Mytilus edulis: one gene and its partner. Each later gene encodes a partner of the first gene's protein in a complex. Links are inferred from orthologs where the notes say so. Each region holds a gene or a part of one and is shown in the gene's direction. Other genes may lie near its edges.

What was found.
Region 2: H/ACA ribonucleoprotein complex subunit 2-like protein (region 1) and H/ACA ribonucleoprotein complex subunit 1-like share a complex: the UniProt entries of both Homo sapiens proteins name them as parts of the H/ACA small nucleolar ribonucleoprotein (H/ACA snoRNP) complex. The link is inferred for Mytilus edulis from reciprocal best matches to the Homo sapiens genes NHP2 and GAR1.

The regions. Positions count from the first base shown.
Region 1 is NC_092347.1:73,995,263-74,002,732, forward strand, and holds the start of H/ACA ribonucleoprotein complex subunit 2-like protein, read left to right. Parts: upstream 1-4,466; 5' UTR 4,467-4,543; coding exon 4,544-4,712; intron 4,713-6,363; coding exon 6,364-6,433; intron 6,434-7,038; coding exon 7,039-7,144; intron 7,145-7,470. Other genes in the region: ADAM 17-like protease, read right to left, coding at 622-749, 1,621-1,750, 4,301-4,358. UniProt on the Homo sapiens protein: Required for ribosome biogenesis and telomere maintenance. Part of the H/ACA small nucleolar ribonucleoprotein (H/ACA snoRNP) complex, which catalyzes pseudouridylation of rRNA.
Region 2 is NC_092352.1:81,859,432-81,867,089, reverse strand, and holds the start of H/ACA ribonucleoprotein complex subunit 1-like, read left to right. Parts: upstream 1-4,644; 5' UTR 4,645-4,654; coding exon 4,655-4,742; intron 4,743-7,658. UniProt on the Homo sapiens protein: Required for ribosome biogenesis and telomere maintenance. Part of the H/ACA small nucleolar ribonucleoprotein (H/ACA snoRNP) complex, which catalyzes pseudouridylation of rRNA.

The DNA.
Region 1 (7,470 bases):
TAGCATGTCATAATTACTCCTGTCAAATAGAGCATTGTGCATAAGCCACCTTGGAATTGTGTTACTCTAAATTGTTTTATGAAATCAGAAAAGCAAAATAATTTTTGTATTTGTTATTCATAAAAATTTGATAACAAAGTTAATCCTTTTCGGAAATAAATGAATGGATAAGAAGATTACAGGTACAAGCAAAATTCTTAACAGCCATTGGCTCTTTGGTTGAGTTGTTTTTCGACACTTTCACTATTTCTACTCTCAATTTTATTATCATACAAAGGATATCTTAAATAGAGTAGATTCAAACTGAATCTTTCACTATGACTCTCAAGTTATACACAGGTAACAGTTTTAAACTGCAGTCTACTATATTTTATTGTTAAATGTTTTTCTTCAAGCAATATTTTCAGTTTTTTAGTTGACATATTTTAGAAAATCAAGGAATCATTAAAATAATCTTCTCTCGTGCAAACATTTACTCAAAGAACGAGAATCATTAAGAATACCTCATTAATAGCCTAATGATAGGTAATGCATGCATGTTTTCTTTAAAACGTACAAGTTAAAAGTCCAAAATTAAACTGTTTACAGTGGGCATATTGGGTACTAGCATCTTCAACTCACCCTTCAAGGTACCAGTATAAAAGTTTCCAGTGTCAATATCAAGTGGTCTCTCCACTCCATTACTGCTTACCACAGCTTTGAAATCATCAGACACAACTTTAGTTTGCTTCACATACAAATGAAAATTTCTGAAGCAAAAAAAAAATTTTTGTTCACCATTTGTACACACGAGTCACAAAAATCAAATGTTCTAAATAATTATTTTGATATATTTCCTTGTTATGATTTTTTTTAAGTTGCAGAGTGATTAGGTATTACGTTATCAGTTTATAGTGATATATATGATTTAAAAATTTAAAACTTCTGAATAATGTATGAAGCCTATCATGAAGAACCTCACTGTAACTCTAAAATACATTGTTTCTAATTTTGTCATGGCAGGGCTTTTATTGGTGACCATACAGTATGGGTCTATGTTGAAGGTTATAAGGTGACCTTAAGTTGTTCACATCAATGTCATTTGGAATTTATTAAATAATTGTCTCATTGGCAATCATAGTCATGATAGTAATAGCATATCACCTTATTCCTTTTTATAAGTGGTACATGTAAGTGTACCAAACTTGAATTTTTCACCTAATGTTTGCGTTATATATTACCATGATTACAGATAGGATATATTATTTCTTTTTACTGCTCACTGAAATTCAATATTTTTTATCTTATTTGTCAGATACCACTTTTGTCTGTATAATTTCTAACATTATTACAAATATTTTTTTTGAGTGTTGTTGTTTTTATTGTCGACATAAATATTTGTTTAGTAAATGAGAAATAAATTGCCATACATTTTATATCAATATAAATGGACAACAGTTCTTGTGGATTGAGTGGGGAAAATGTACTTTTATAGATACTTAATTCAAAGGCTTTGATGAATCTAAAAAATAGTATATTGTAAATTTCAACTCATAAATTTGTGGTTCAGGTTAATCATACACTAAAAAATTAATGACAAATCCACAGACTTTACAACATATGTACAAAACAAAACCATACCTCCCTAAAGATGAGAACCAAATTTCATGCAGGTGAGAACTTGGGTGTGGATCCACACTTCGTCTTACACGCTTATTTATATCAACTGTCTTCAGGGTCTCAAAATAGTCCAAATTACTTGATATATCAGCTGAAAAAGAAGATATAAAGTCCATTCCCAATGTGAGTTTGATTTGAAAAAATTAGGAAAAAAAATCCGAAATTTTAATGTACAAAAATCAAATTTTAACACCTAAAAGAAAATAAAAAGAGGGTGCAATGCCTCAACAATACTCAAGGGCCTGTGAATGGGTGACCAGTTGACTTTTTGTTAAACAGATCATTTAGATATTTCTATATTTTATTTTAAAGTCTAAGTTGACATAAAAGTCAATAATGACACAAGGTAAAATGCTTTTTCTATAATTTCAACTTGTGACTAAAATTGATTTTATCTTATCAAATTATTAAACCCCTTTTTGGTTTTATAAAACGAAGAATAATTGACCAGGGTTTTCAAGAACATGCAGAGCAAATATTTCAGCATCTCCAAAATTAGTTTTTCCAGAGTGTTTACATCATACCTGTCAACTGACCCGGATTCTGCGGGTGTGACCCGAGATTTTCACAATTCTGAGGGATCACCCGGATCACCCGCCGGTAAACTTTACATTAGAATGAACTTGCAGATTGTGTTGATGCTTTAAGAAATAGATCAGATGTAATAAGCATTGGGTATAAGTTTCATAACATTTGGTTGAGGCAACTAAAGTTTAAGAACAGAAACTAAACATTTTGCATTTTTTCCCATTTATAAAGGTGCATAACTCGAGAATGGTTAAAGTGACCCCACCATAATTCAAACTTGATCTGTATTTTGTGGTAATAAGCATTGTGTATAAGTTTAATAATATTTGGTTGAGCGAACTTAAGTTAAAGAACGAAAACTAAAATTTTTGTAATTTTTCCATTTAAAACAGGGTATAACTTCAGAACCATACACCTCATCGTTATTTCTGGCTGAATGGAGAATCTGTCCCATTTGAACTATTGACGTCAAACAACAATTACTTTTCCATTTGCATGTACATGATAGCGCCATAGTACCGGGATATTCCACTCTGGCACCGAAGTCTTTCCCGTACCAGGAAGTATCAGGTTCGTTCACGCCCAATACACTTTCGCACCCTACACGTTATCACCTCGCACTTTCGCACCCAAGGTCCGTTCACACTCTACATGTTTGCGCCCGATTTTTATTCAAATTCCAGTTGAATAATTGGAAAATCATGATTGTTGTTATAAATTGCTTTGGTGTAAATAAAACATTCAAGATTTTAAATGAAAACACAAAAGATAATTGTTTTTAACAGCTTGGTCCCTTTAATCTGAAACAATAAAATAAAGCGATACACTATTATAACCAAAACATGATAAAATTTATTCAACACACACAAAAAAACGTAGTCAGAATCACACTTTATTTTGAAACAAGTCAATGAAACAAAGTTACATGTATAGCAATACACTAACCAAAACATGATTAAGAGTTATTCAACACAAAATAAAACGTTGACAGAATCCCACTTTATTTAGAAAGGATTATTTTTTTTTTTAACAATACACTATCCAAAACATGACTAAGATTTATTCAACACAAAAAAAAATGCTGTCTCACTTTATTTTGAATCAATGACAACAAATATAAGAACACACTTGCCAAAACTTGATTACAAAGATATAGTTATTAAACACAAAACCAATTAAAATTGGGCGCGAACATGTAGGGTGCGAAAGTGAAAGGGGGCGAACATGAGTGGGTGCGAATGTGAATCAGCGCGAAAGGACCTAGATTCGTACTACGATTGAAGAAGAAAAAGGGATATCCTTCCCATTGCATTTGGAGATTTTGAAAGTTGCTTTTTTTATACAGGTTGGGAACAAACCCCCTGTATGGTGATTATACCTCTATAGAGGGATAATCCTTCTATAGAGGGGTAAAATTATCCCTCTATAGAGGGGTATTTTTGTTTAGACTGAATTTAAATCAAAATAGGGCAGAATGGCATTCTCTACTTATTATGGCAGTAACCTGGAACAGTTGATGCACCAATTGATGTACTTAATTAAATATGCACATGCCCAGTTTGATGCTTATCTGACTAAATATAAAATCTATTGTTCACCATGATTGAAAGCTGTGATGATCAGGTAAATTCTACTCACTTATGCCTCACTGAACAGAATTTCTATTGTTAGATTTAAAATGAAATTTAAAGGTCAACTATTCCCTTTGTTGTTGATCAGGTGTTCAAATAGGTTTACAATAGATTGCATGTTTTGTCACTTTAGCAGAAAACTGGTTATCCCAATTTTTAGTAAAGTGCATATGTTGATGCATATAATGCTAGAGATTAGAGCCAATATAACTAGAAAATGCCATTCTGCCCTAATTTGCTTTAAATCCAGTGCAAACAAAAATAACCCTCTATAGAGGGATAATTTTACCCCTCTATAGAAGGATTATTCCTCTATAGAGGTATAATCCCCATACAGGGGGTTTGTTCCCAACCTGTTATAGTTCAATAGTTGGCACCTTTTATATGTGTTATGGAAATTACCAACATGGATAGTTGTTTTTCTGAAAAATCTTCCCTTCAAGATGGAAGAAATGTATTTTGTGTGTATATTCAATAATTACCTCTACTCGAAAATACACAAAAAGAAGAAATAATGATAACCGAAAGTAGTTTTTCCATCACAGCCTATATTATCTGGTACCTTGTATACAATTTTGTGTGGTGTAAAGAAACCAGTTCAAAGTCTGGATCGCCCGTGTGATTTTAGATTGCAGTATTTTCATCAATGTTAAAAGCTATTTTTATCACTTTAGCACGTGGAGGGACCAAAAATACAAAACAAACTCTAAAAAGCACGCTGTGAAATGGGAAAATCAAGCAAAGAAAAACGAAGATCTGAGGTAGAGGATGAAGCAGGGGACGGAGGTGACAGTAAAGAAATATGGCAAGAGAAAATCAAGTACCAGAGTTCTATTTCCCAGCCGTTAGCCCCAAGAAAATTGACAAAAAGAATTTACAAAGCTGTTAAGAAAGGTACATGTACATGTAGCTAAGAATGAGATTGTTTAAATGTTATTCTCTGTTGTTTCTGTGCTTAATGAATGACTTATGTTCATAATAGAGCTTTCTTTAATAAAATATTTTGTAATGCCGACTACTGGTTCATCATAAATTATAAATGGACAAAAGTGGCTGTGTTAGACCTCACAAATTGTCTACCCTTTGAGTACAGACTAAACTGTCCCGTTGGAAAAGACTATCAACTGGCAGTAGATCATACCCGTAGCCCGAAACCCCCCCCCCCCCCTTGAAATCAAATAAGCACTTTTAAAGCCAACGTTTTGTTCAAATTGTGACTTAAAGTCGAGTTCACAAGTCCAATGAACCCCCCCTTGGAAATTCCTGGCTACAGGCCTGTAGATGATAACAATGTTAATATGACCTCACACTCTATTATTATGCAGAAGTTATAAGAGGGGCGGAAAGGGACACAGGCACTTGTTTCTATCCATACGAAGGTCGACTATCCATATCTATTTATATGGATAGTCGACCTTCGTATGGATAGAAACAAGTGCCTGTGGAAAGGGAGGGTATCTGCACGGAAGAACGCAAAATAAAATTGCCATTTCATGACAAGCGAACAATTAAAAATTTCCTGCTCGTTGATCTTTTTAACAAATTTCACAAAACACAGTGAATAATGAACCTTTTTCATGGCTGCACGTGAAATAAAAATGGCAAAACACGTTGCACAAAAATAACCCTTTACCACCCTCTTATAATTGCCCTGTATTACATGGTGGGAAGTTTCCCATGCTGGAATAAAACTTCAACACATCAAAAAAATCTAAAATCACTGGGTTTTCTAAAACAAAATTTAAAAACAACATATCCACACATAAAATCCCAGGCATACCAAGCACTCGTCAGACTCAAACTTGAAAATTCCTGTTCTGTTTGGGACCCTCACACAACCAAGTCTGTATCCAAAATTGAGATGGTCCAACGACGAGCTGCACGGTATGACTGCAATAAATACCATAATACAAGTAGTGTTACAAACATGCTTACGACACTTAACTTACCATCATTAGCAGAACGCAGACCGCATAAGATTGGTAATGATGTACAAAATATAATATCATCTTGTTGCTATTCCATCAGTCATACTCATAAAAGCAGACTCAAGAACAAAAAAAAATGTACACTCTCATATAGGCATATTCTTACATCGAAAGACTCCTACAGACATTCATACTTTCCTTACACAATACCACAGTGGAACCAGCTCCTTGTGGTACTAGTTCAGGCACCATCCATTAATAGCTTCAAAGAACAGCTCACTTCAGCTGTTTTCTGTTCTATTAATTAAAAGTATCAATTTAAATTGTACATAGTTTTAATCACAAATTTAACATTTCATTGCACTTTAATTATATTTCGTTTAAATTAGGGTAAACATGTTGACCACATCTTCCTATATCTATGTAAATAGTCCACGTATGCGAACAGTATGTAATCATCGAAATCAATGAAATATTGTATACCTACAGAAGAAGAAGAAGAAAGTTTATGGAATTTGAAATAGTGAAAATTTTCAGTAAGTTACTAGCTTTAGTTATGTTGCTGTTACAAATCAGTTTGATATGACTATTTCTTTCATGTACTTTTATGTTTTCAGCTTCAAAACAGAAACAATTAAGAAAAGGTGTGAGAGAAGTGCAAAAATTTATTAGAAAAGGAGAAAAGGGGTGAGTACATTTTTGTACATCTGACTTCACAAAAAGTACATGTAGGAAGTTTTTGTTGGACTTGTCAACCAGGAAATGTTAAAATCACTCCTGTTTATCTGACATCACAAAAAGTACAAGTAGGAAATTTTAGGCCACTGCTTACAAAATCATGACTGAGAGCATCACTCATGCAAATACTTTATTATGAATTTTATACCATCTGCTCATCACTCATAGACCACTTATACTCATCATTCATTATATTTATGGCTGTTTACTTCATTGTTTTTATTGTAATAAACAATTTTATTCATATTTTTGTTAAAACAAGGCAATTGTGCCTAACATATATATTACTGAATTCAGGTTAATGTTGTAGAAATCTATTTGTAAGGATATTACCAGAACAAAGGTTATCTGTAAAAAGTAAAGAAACTTGAGAGTTAGCACTCAAATTTAGGCAGTGGGGCAACAGGACATTAATACTTTTAAAAAGTAGGCCTAAGAATGAAGACAAATACTTTTTAAATGACTAATAAGAATTTGTTATTAACTCATACATTCCCTTTAACACAATGGACAACACATATTAACATGACTAATGAGATTTTCTTTTTTACTAGGATTGTTATATTAGCTGGTGATGTAAGCCCAGTTGATGTTATTTGTCACATGCCTTTGGTTTGTGAAGAGGAGGGACTACCATACTGTTACACACCATCAAAAGAGGTATGACTACATTTATGTTGTTGTTTGAAATTTTTAATGCTACAGGTTATGCATCATACCATGATGTATTGGTACATGTCTCTCAAAAAAGAAATTTATCAGTACATGAAAATTCTCTACACTATCTAAAACATTTACCAAATGTAAGACTTGAAATGAAATATTAAAGTTTTTTCCTTTCAAGACGAAGGTTAGACAAAATGATGACAACCGAAACTAGTCAACCGTTGGAAATATAATAACACAGAAACTATGTCAAAAACACAAAACACAAAAAACTTTTTCCAGAAAACAACCACTATCTGACTTTTGGAAGGAATTTAGAT
Region 2 (7,658 bases), on another chromosome or scaffold:
TACCAAACCCTTACCTATATGCTCAATGTTAATTTCATCGTGTTATCGAATATCTGATAAGAATATTCAGGTAGATTTGTTCAAAACCATGTGCAATCGAATATTTTCAATGTTATTCTGACAGGAAATGGATCCGGAAAAGTTGCGAATTTACAATCTTGCAAGAAGATTTTGTTTTTACTGAATAAAAAAGAATTATTTCTTGATAAATTGTTGTCTTTAATTATAATCTTTCTTTATCATGTAAATTAGATGCCCTTTTATTCAAATAGTTCAAATTTACAAGTCTCATTAGACAAGATCAGTACGTTGCTGTTTGGGAGAATTTGATAAAACTATAATTGTTCACAGAATCAGAAATATAATCTTAACTGAATGTAACTCCCTCTGAATAATTTATTGCAATATAAATCCCTTTTGACAAGAGAAATCTGACTTTTGACAGAAATATTTTTTTCACATGTGCAAAAGTAAAAACATGTTATGGACGCCATATTGGATTTTTCTACAAATTTGTGAGGAAGCCTCTAGAACCATGACCTAAAAATAAATAGTCTTCAGAAAACGTTAACTTTATGCAATTATATTTTATCAATAATGATTATTTTCAAAAATTTAAACTTGATTATTTAAAGAAATAAAATTATAACAAATACGTTTTTAGTTTGGAGATTCTACAGAACATGCTTTGATCTATTTACCGGTATAGCCAAATTAGTTTACCTGTGTGATAATGTAAATACAAATTTGTTTTCAAAACATAAACAAGACACAAACTAAGGATGGTAGATAATAATTCATATAAATATTTTAATAGAAATAGGATTTAAAAACTGCAAACAAATTTAATCATTACATAATCAGCTGATATTTTTTTTACAAAAACATCGTGTTGATGGAACTGTTGAAAATCACTTCATAAATCCACCAGCCCTTTCACACAGCTAGCAATTGTCAGTGTTATAAACATCTCAGGATACAAATCATATAGTAGACTAATTTATTTATAGAGGTTTTAAATTCATGGCTTTTGGTTTTCTCTACAAAGGTTTGACGAAAAAAAAAAGATATACTGTTTTAAGATCTTTTAATATTTTCATGCAAATTCTGATAAAAAAAAAAAAAAAAAAAGAATTTGCCTACCTACCTACCCACACCCAGTCATCATGGGTCGGGTTTGGGCAAACTGAAATATTTTTAATTGTGGCCTTATGTAAAGCCATTATTATAGCATTTTTTTCAACTGAAATAGAATTGCAGCTAAATGATAGCATCAAAGGCATAAACCTTGATACTTAAAACAAGCAAAAAATTCATTTTTTTCAATTTTACTAATAAAAAGATATTATTTAAACCTATGTGTTTAAAATTTTGGTAAAACTACAAAATCACAATTTGTGACAAAACTTCGAATTTGCTACACAAAGTGATTTAAAAATCACCAAAGTGATTTAAAAATCACTTATTTCAGTTAGTCCCCTGACTGATTAACATGACCATGATGACATGTCTCTCTTGTACTGAATATTCCTCATATGGTGCACTATTTCTCATAAGTACGATGTTGATGTCCCACCATATTTCAGTGTGTTCATGGTGTTTGTCAGTCTTTAAGATTTTTTTTAGCAACAAATGTATTTTGACCTTTTGAGTGTGAAATAAGTCAAGATTATATTATGTTATAATTTGTTTTTGAATCTTTGATATTAACCATTTGTTAACCATGCTGTAAACTGAAGGTATACATGGTACCCATCAAAACAACATTTGATAGAAAAATTTAACAATACTTTTAGATATTTGGATGATATATTGGCTCTAAATAATGACGACTTCAGTATGTATACTAAAGAAATTTATCCTGTAGAACTTACTTTAAACAAAGCTAATGCTAACAATGACCACTGCCCTTTCCTCGATCTTGATATCTATATCATAAACGGGAAGCTTAATACAAAAGTTTATGATAAAAGAGATGATTTTTCATTTCCTATTGTTAATTATCCATTTTTAGATGGTGACGTTCCCTTGTCACCATCTTATGGTGTTTATATATCTCAACTTGTACGATTCGCTCGTGTATGTAACAATGTATTAGATTTTAGCGAGAGAAATTTATGTATTACTGAAAAATTATTACACCAGGGTTTTCGATATCACAAACTGGTCAAAACATTTACTAAATTTTATCACCGGTATAAGGAAATAATTCGTAAATATAACTCAACATGCAGACATCTTATACGTTCAGGTATTTCACATCCAAAATTTTATGGAAATATTCTTTATAAAGCACAAAAATGTCAGTATTCTCCTCAGAAACTAACAAAACCTTTAAATAGACTTATTAAAAGGGGATATAGTTACGATACTGTTGTCAGGTCATTAAAGATTGCATATTTTGGCTTTAACATTGATTCACTGATAGGGTCTTTGCATCGGAACTAAACACATTTATTTCTAAAAAAACAGTTGTTGGCATGACACGGGTTATGTTCTTCTCATATATTTTATGATAGTATGATACTAAACCCCTAACGGGAGGGATTGTACCTGATATTCATATGATGAAGACATAATCTTTCAATCAGTTTAATTGAGGTCTGGAGCTGGCATGTCAGTTAACTGCTAGTAGTCTGTTGTTATTTATGTATTATTGTCATTTTATTTATTTTCTTTTGTTACATCTTTTGACATCAGACTCGGACTTCTCTTGAACTGAATTTTAATGTGCGTATTGTTATTCTTTTACTTTTCTACATTGGCTAGAGGTATAGGGGGAGGGTTGAGATCTCATAAACATGTTTAACCCCGCCGCAATTTTGCGCCTGTCCCAAGTCAGGAGCCTCTGGCCTTTGTTAGTCTTGTATGATTTTAATTTTTAGTTTCTTGTGTATAATTCGGAGTTTAGTATGACGTCCATTATCACTGTACTATTATGCATATTTTAGGGGCCAGCTGAAGGACACCTACGGGTGCGGGAATTCTCGCTACATTGAAGACCCATTGGTTGCCTTCGGCTGTTGTTTGCTCTATGGTCGGGTGGTTGTCGCTTTGACATATTCACCATTTCCTTTCTCAATTTTATTATGGTACATGTATATTATCTTAAATTATATATCCTTGATAATATAAAAAAAAATGTTTTTTTCACTTGTTTCTGGTATATAACTATATTTAAAAAGACAATTTAATGTATGTTTCAATATTTATTAACCATGTTGATTTAAACAGGCGTTTAGTTAAGAAAGACAACTCTACCTTCCAATCTTTTTGGACATAATGCAGTGTTCTCCCCAGAAATTTTGGATAGCATCACATTTGGCGTAAAAAAAAATGTATTTTTTTCAATGTAATTTGTCGCATCGTGGCAATGCTCTATTTCCATTATGATATATATGCTTTATTGTTTATTACAAAATGTATTATATTGTTTGTATGCTATAGGTCCTTATTTGGTGAATAAAATATTCTATTCAACCCTATTCTTTGTGTCAATATTGTTGAATTCATGACTGAGAATACAATTAAAGTATAACCATGATAACAGTATTTTCAGTTTATGTTTTCTATATATTCATTTATAGTTCCAGAATTATTTTTCCTCTTGGGCCAAATGAAAAAAATATGTGTGGTTCTAGTTACCCTACCTACATGAACTACCCAGTTAAAAAAAAATCTTTATCATGTCTATGAAATATATTGGCTCATGGTATTCAATGAATCAGTCCCAGTTGTTTCTTTTTATCAAAATGATATATATTCTTAACAAAGTTATCTGACAAATAGTCTGTTTGTGCTTAGTTTTCTCTTTAGGTATCATTGTTTTCTGTTTACCATGTTTACTGTGCCATTTGTGCAAATGTAGTTATTATTGTAAAATACGGATTTTTGTCATATCTGGTCTGGTTCACATCATTAGTTTACACTAAAATATTAAATGGCCGTTGAAAGCAATGAAAAATACAAAAATAAACAATGTTTGACAAGAGATTTGGAATGAATATGGCGTTTTTAATGCATTAAATGGATGAAGCATAAACTAAAGCCAATATTGATCACTTTCTAAAGAAAGACCAAAACTTATTTAGCTCATAATCAAAATTTTCACTCTCGATTTACAAAAAGTGATAGGAAGAGGAAGAAAGTATATACTACTGTAATATTTTGCAGACCACGTGGTATTAATCATGTCACAAGTGACAGCTTAGGGTATTCCAATCCAAACAGTTATCCCCCAAAGGCAATTAACTCCTATTTATTCACTCTTATTTGTCTATTGTCCGACATGAAGGGATTAAAGGTGATATATTTTTTATGATCATAAGCGGTAATTAGATGAAAGTTCAAAATTTAGGACATGGCTTTGCCATATAGAAACGAGAAAAATAACATCCTAAAAATAATTATAGCGTCACGGAAATTATTATAGCGTCACGGGAAGAAAATATAGCGTCACGGTACCGCGATGCTAAAACGTCCTGGGGAGAACACTGAAATGTTTTTTGAATCGGTGATTTAGAAAATCATTCATTTAAGTATAAAGTCCCCTGACTGTTGATTATTATACTACTTAGAAAACAAACTGAATAAACAACCTCATGGAACATTGGTGATAATTTTTATATATTTGCTGTTTCAAGGTTTTAGCATTATGGGATTTGAAAGAGGTGGTGGTAGGGGTGGAGGCCGAGGAGGAGGAAGAGGATTTGGCGGTGGTCGTGGAGGTGGATTTAGAGGAGGTGAGTTTGATGGGGCTGATCACAAGATCTTGACTTATTTGGATATAATTTGTTCAAGATGATCCATATATAAGTTTTATACCATGAAAATTATACATGTACATGTACATGATGTAGCAGTCAACCCTCATTCTTCATCAAGCTAAAGATAACCATCCAATACTTTTTTCTTCATTGTTCTTCAGAATTTGGAAATTTTCTGATAGTTCCTTATTATTGGTAGCAGAAGAGTTCAAATCTCCCACTTCAAAGAAATGTCATGTTTTCTCCTTCTTCACAATTATTAGCCAATAAATACTTTAAGTCATGTCAAATTGTTTAAACATTTATCATAACATTATAAGCTTGCAAAGTACAACGTTACAAAGTATTCCTTATATGATGTTACAATGTAGCACAGTTATATCAATGTGTACATACATATTTAGCTACATATACCTGCAATTGTCAGAATGATTAAATGCTGTTAAATCTTGGTTGGTATATGGGCAGGAATTTGCTAGTGAAATTTTAGGGTCAATAGTGTTTATCCAATTAAAAAATAAAGAAATCATGCAAATATGGAGAATAAACATTGTTTAAATATCAAAGTGGGTTAGTCTTTATTGCCACATGCAAAAAAAATGGTTCCAATTAAAAAAATCAACAAAAAATCAGCACTTGTTATGTGCTGGCAGTTGAAAACTGTAGACAAAAAGTGTGACATTTCTGCAGTGGCAAAACCCCTAGTCATATTTAGAATATGCCTGAAGAATTGTTCTACTATAATAGTTGAAAATCAACTGCAAAATGATCGGTCTATCATTTAGAAACCCCATTTTGTACAGAATCCGATTATTGCTGCAAATAAAATACGTTTGAAAATGGACAAGTGCATGTAACTTTTCCCGTCAACAAATGTTACATGCACCTTTTCATTAGCTGATTAGCTTTGGAAACAAGTTATTGGTCCAGCATGGCAAATTTTGAAAGGTGTCAACAATGGTTACAATTTGGATTTCATGATTTTTATCAATCAACTGAAGTTTGAAAAATATAGAAGGTACGAAAATTTATTTCATTTTCGTGTCAATACTGCCCAATAATACTTATCTTTTTATAACAGTTGTATACTTTTTATAGTAAGCATTAACATAATTATTTTTTTCACATTTCAACCCACTGACAATTACATTAAAATGTGGCTTTGTCATCTTTCACACTTGGCATCTACCAGTGATCAAGCAGATGATAAGAGAGTGGGACCAGGTTAATTTGACCTCACAATGAAGTGTTACATGCACTTTTTGTGTAAATTAGGTTCTTTGATAATAATGTGTGACTTGCTTTGCAATTTTGTCAAAAAATATAAGTTTATCTTGTATTTTAACAGGTTTGACCCTTACGATATTCATTTTATTGCTGGAGAGATTTCTGTACATAACATTGACACGAAAATATTTACCAAGGAAAGGTGTCTATGATACATGCAAAAGCTTTTTTTTGTACGGTTTGCCTTATCAATCTAATTTTTTACATGTAATACCACAGATTAATTGCCAATTTGATTAACTAGTACTTGTATTCATTCTCAGCATTATAAAGATAACTGGCCACTTAATTTGAAAACATAAAATGTAACATTGACACCAGAATAAAAACAATATTACTTTATTACACTTAAAGCATAATTGGCCAGTGCATAATATTAAATCAAATGTAAATTTAAGCTGAATTCTTAACAGAGAAGTTGTTGATCTTTCTTGATTTCTAGACTTTACAATATTTACTTGTAATTCTTATCGTTTAAAGGCATGTAACATTGACACATCTTCTGTGTCCAGGTTACATGCTACAACCTAATAAATGTGCATACAATTATTCAATCAATAAAATCTTGTTGAAATTTAAATTTGCTTCATTAAAATGATATTAAAGAAATAAATGAGTTTCAATTATTTGTGTTTATTTTTTTCCTGATTGACTAGCATTTTTTCCTCATCATTTGTTGGTGTTCCTGTCAATGTTACATACATAACCCAGAATTATAATGTTTTAAACGCATTGATTTCCAAACCTCTGTTATGAGCTTTAAAATGAGTTTATCTGAGTTTATAAATGACTAACATCTGAAATATTGTCATCACACAATTTCTTTGATGCTCCTATGATAACTTTATGAGTAACATGGACTACGATTTTTGTATCAGGTCTTTTTTGTGTTACATGAGAAGATTTTACTGTGTTGAAATCAACAGTTAATCTAATTTTTTATATTCAAAGTTATTATTATGATACTTATTTTAAAAAATAATGTATAAAGTAAACCCAAATTAAACTTTTTTTTCATTAAGAAATTGCATGTGTATGTAACATTGACAGAGTCTATTATTTAGACTTTTACATGTTCAGGCCATTGTTACATGCGTACACACAACTTACTGCCATATGGAGCTATTATCTTATTTTTATTTTACAAAATTAAAGCGTTTTCATGTTTTCCTGTTTAATTTGTCTTTTAACACTAGCTAGTAACATTGACAACAATATTTTGTGTCAAGATTTTTTTATGTTACATGCAAAGGTATTACTTCCTTAAAGTCAGAAATTTATATAACATTTTATAACCTAAATGATTAATTAGATATTACTGGGCAGCAATTATATTATTTTTCCAAAGTTGACTATTAAGCACACCACTTTCATCTTCTGGTCTTCATGTATGTAACATTGACATACAACCTTTTACTTTCTGTCAATGTTACACGCATGAACAGAACTGATAACATTTACTAACTCCTTTGCTCTATAAAGAGATTATTGATAATTTAACTTGTTTTACCACCATCAAACTTCATCTTTATTTCTAAATATAGATATTCTTTTTAGAAGTGTATTTTCTTCATTGACAACAAAATTGGTGTCGGTCATGAAAAT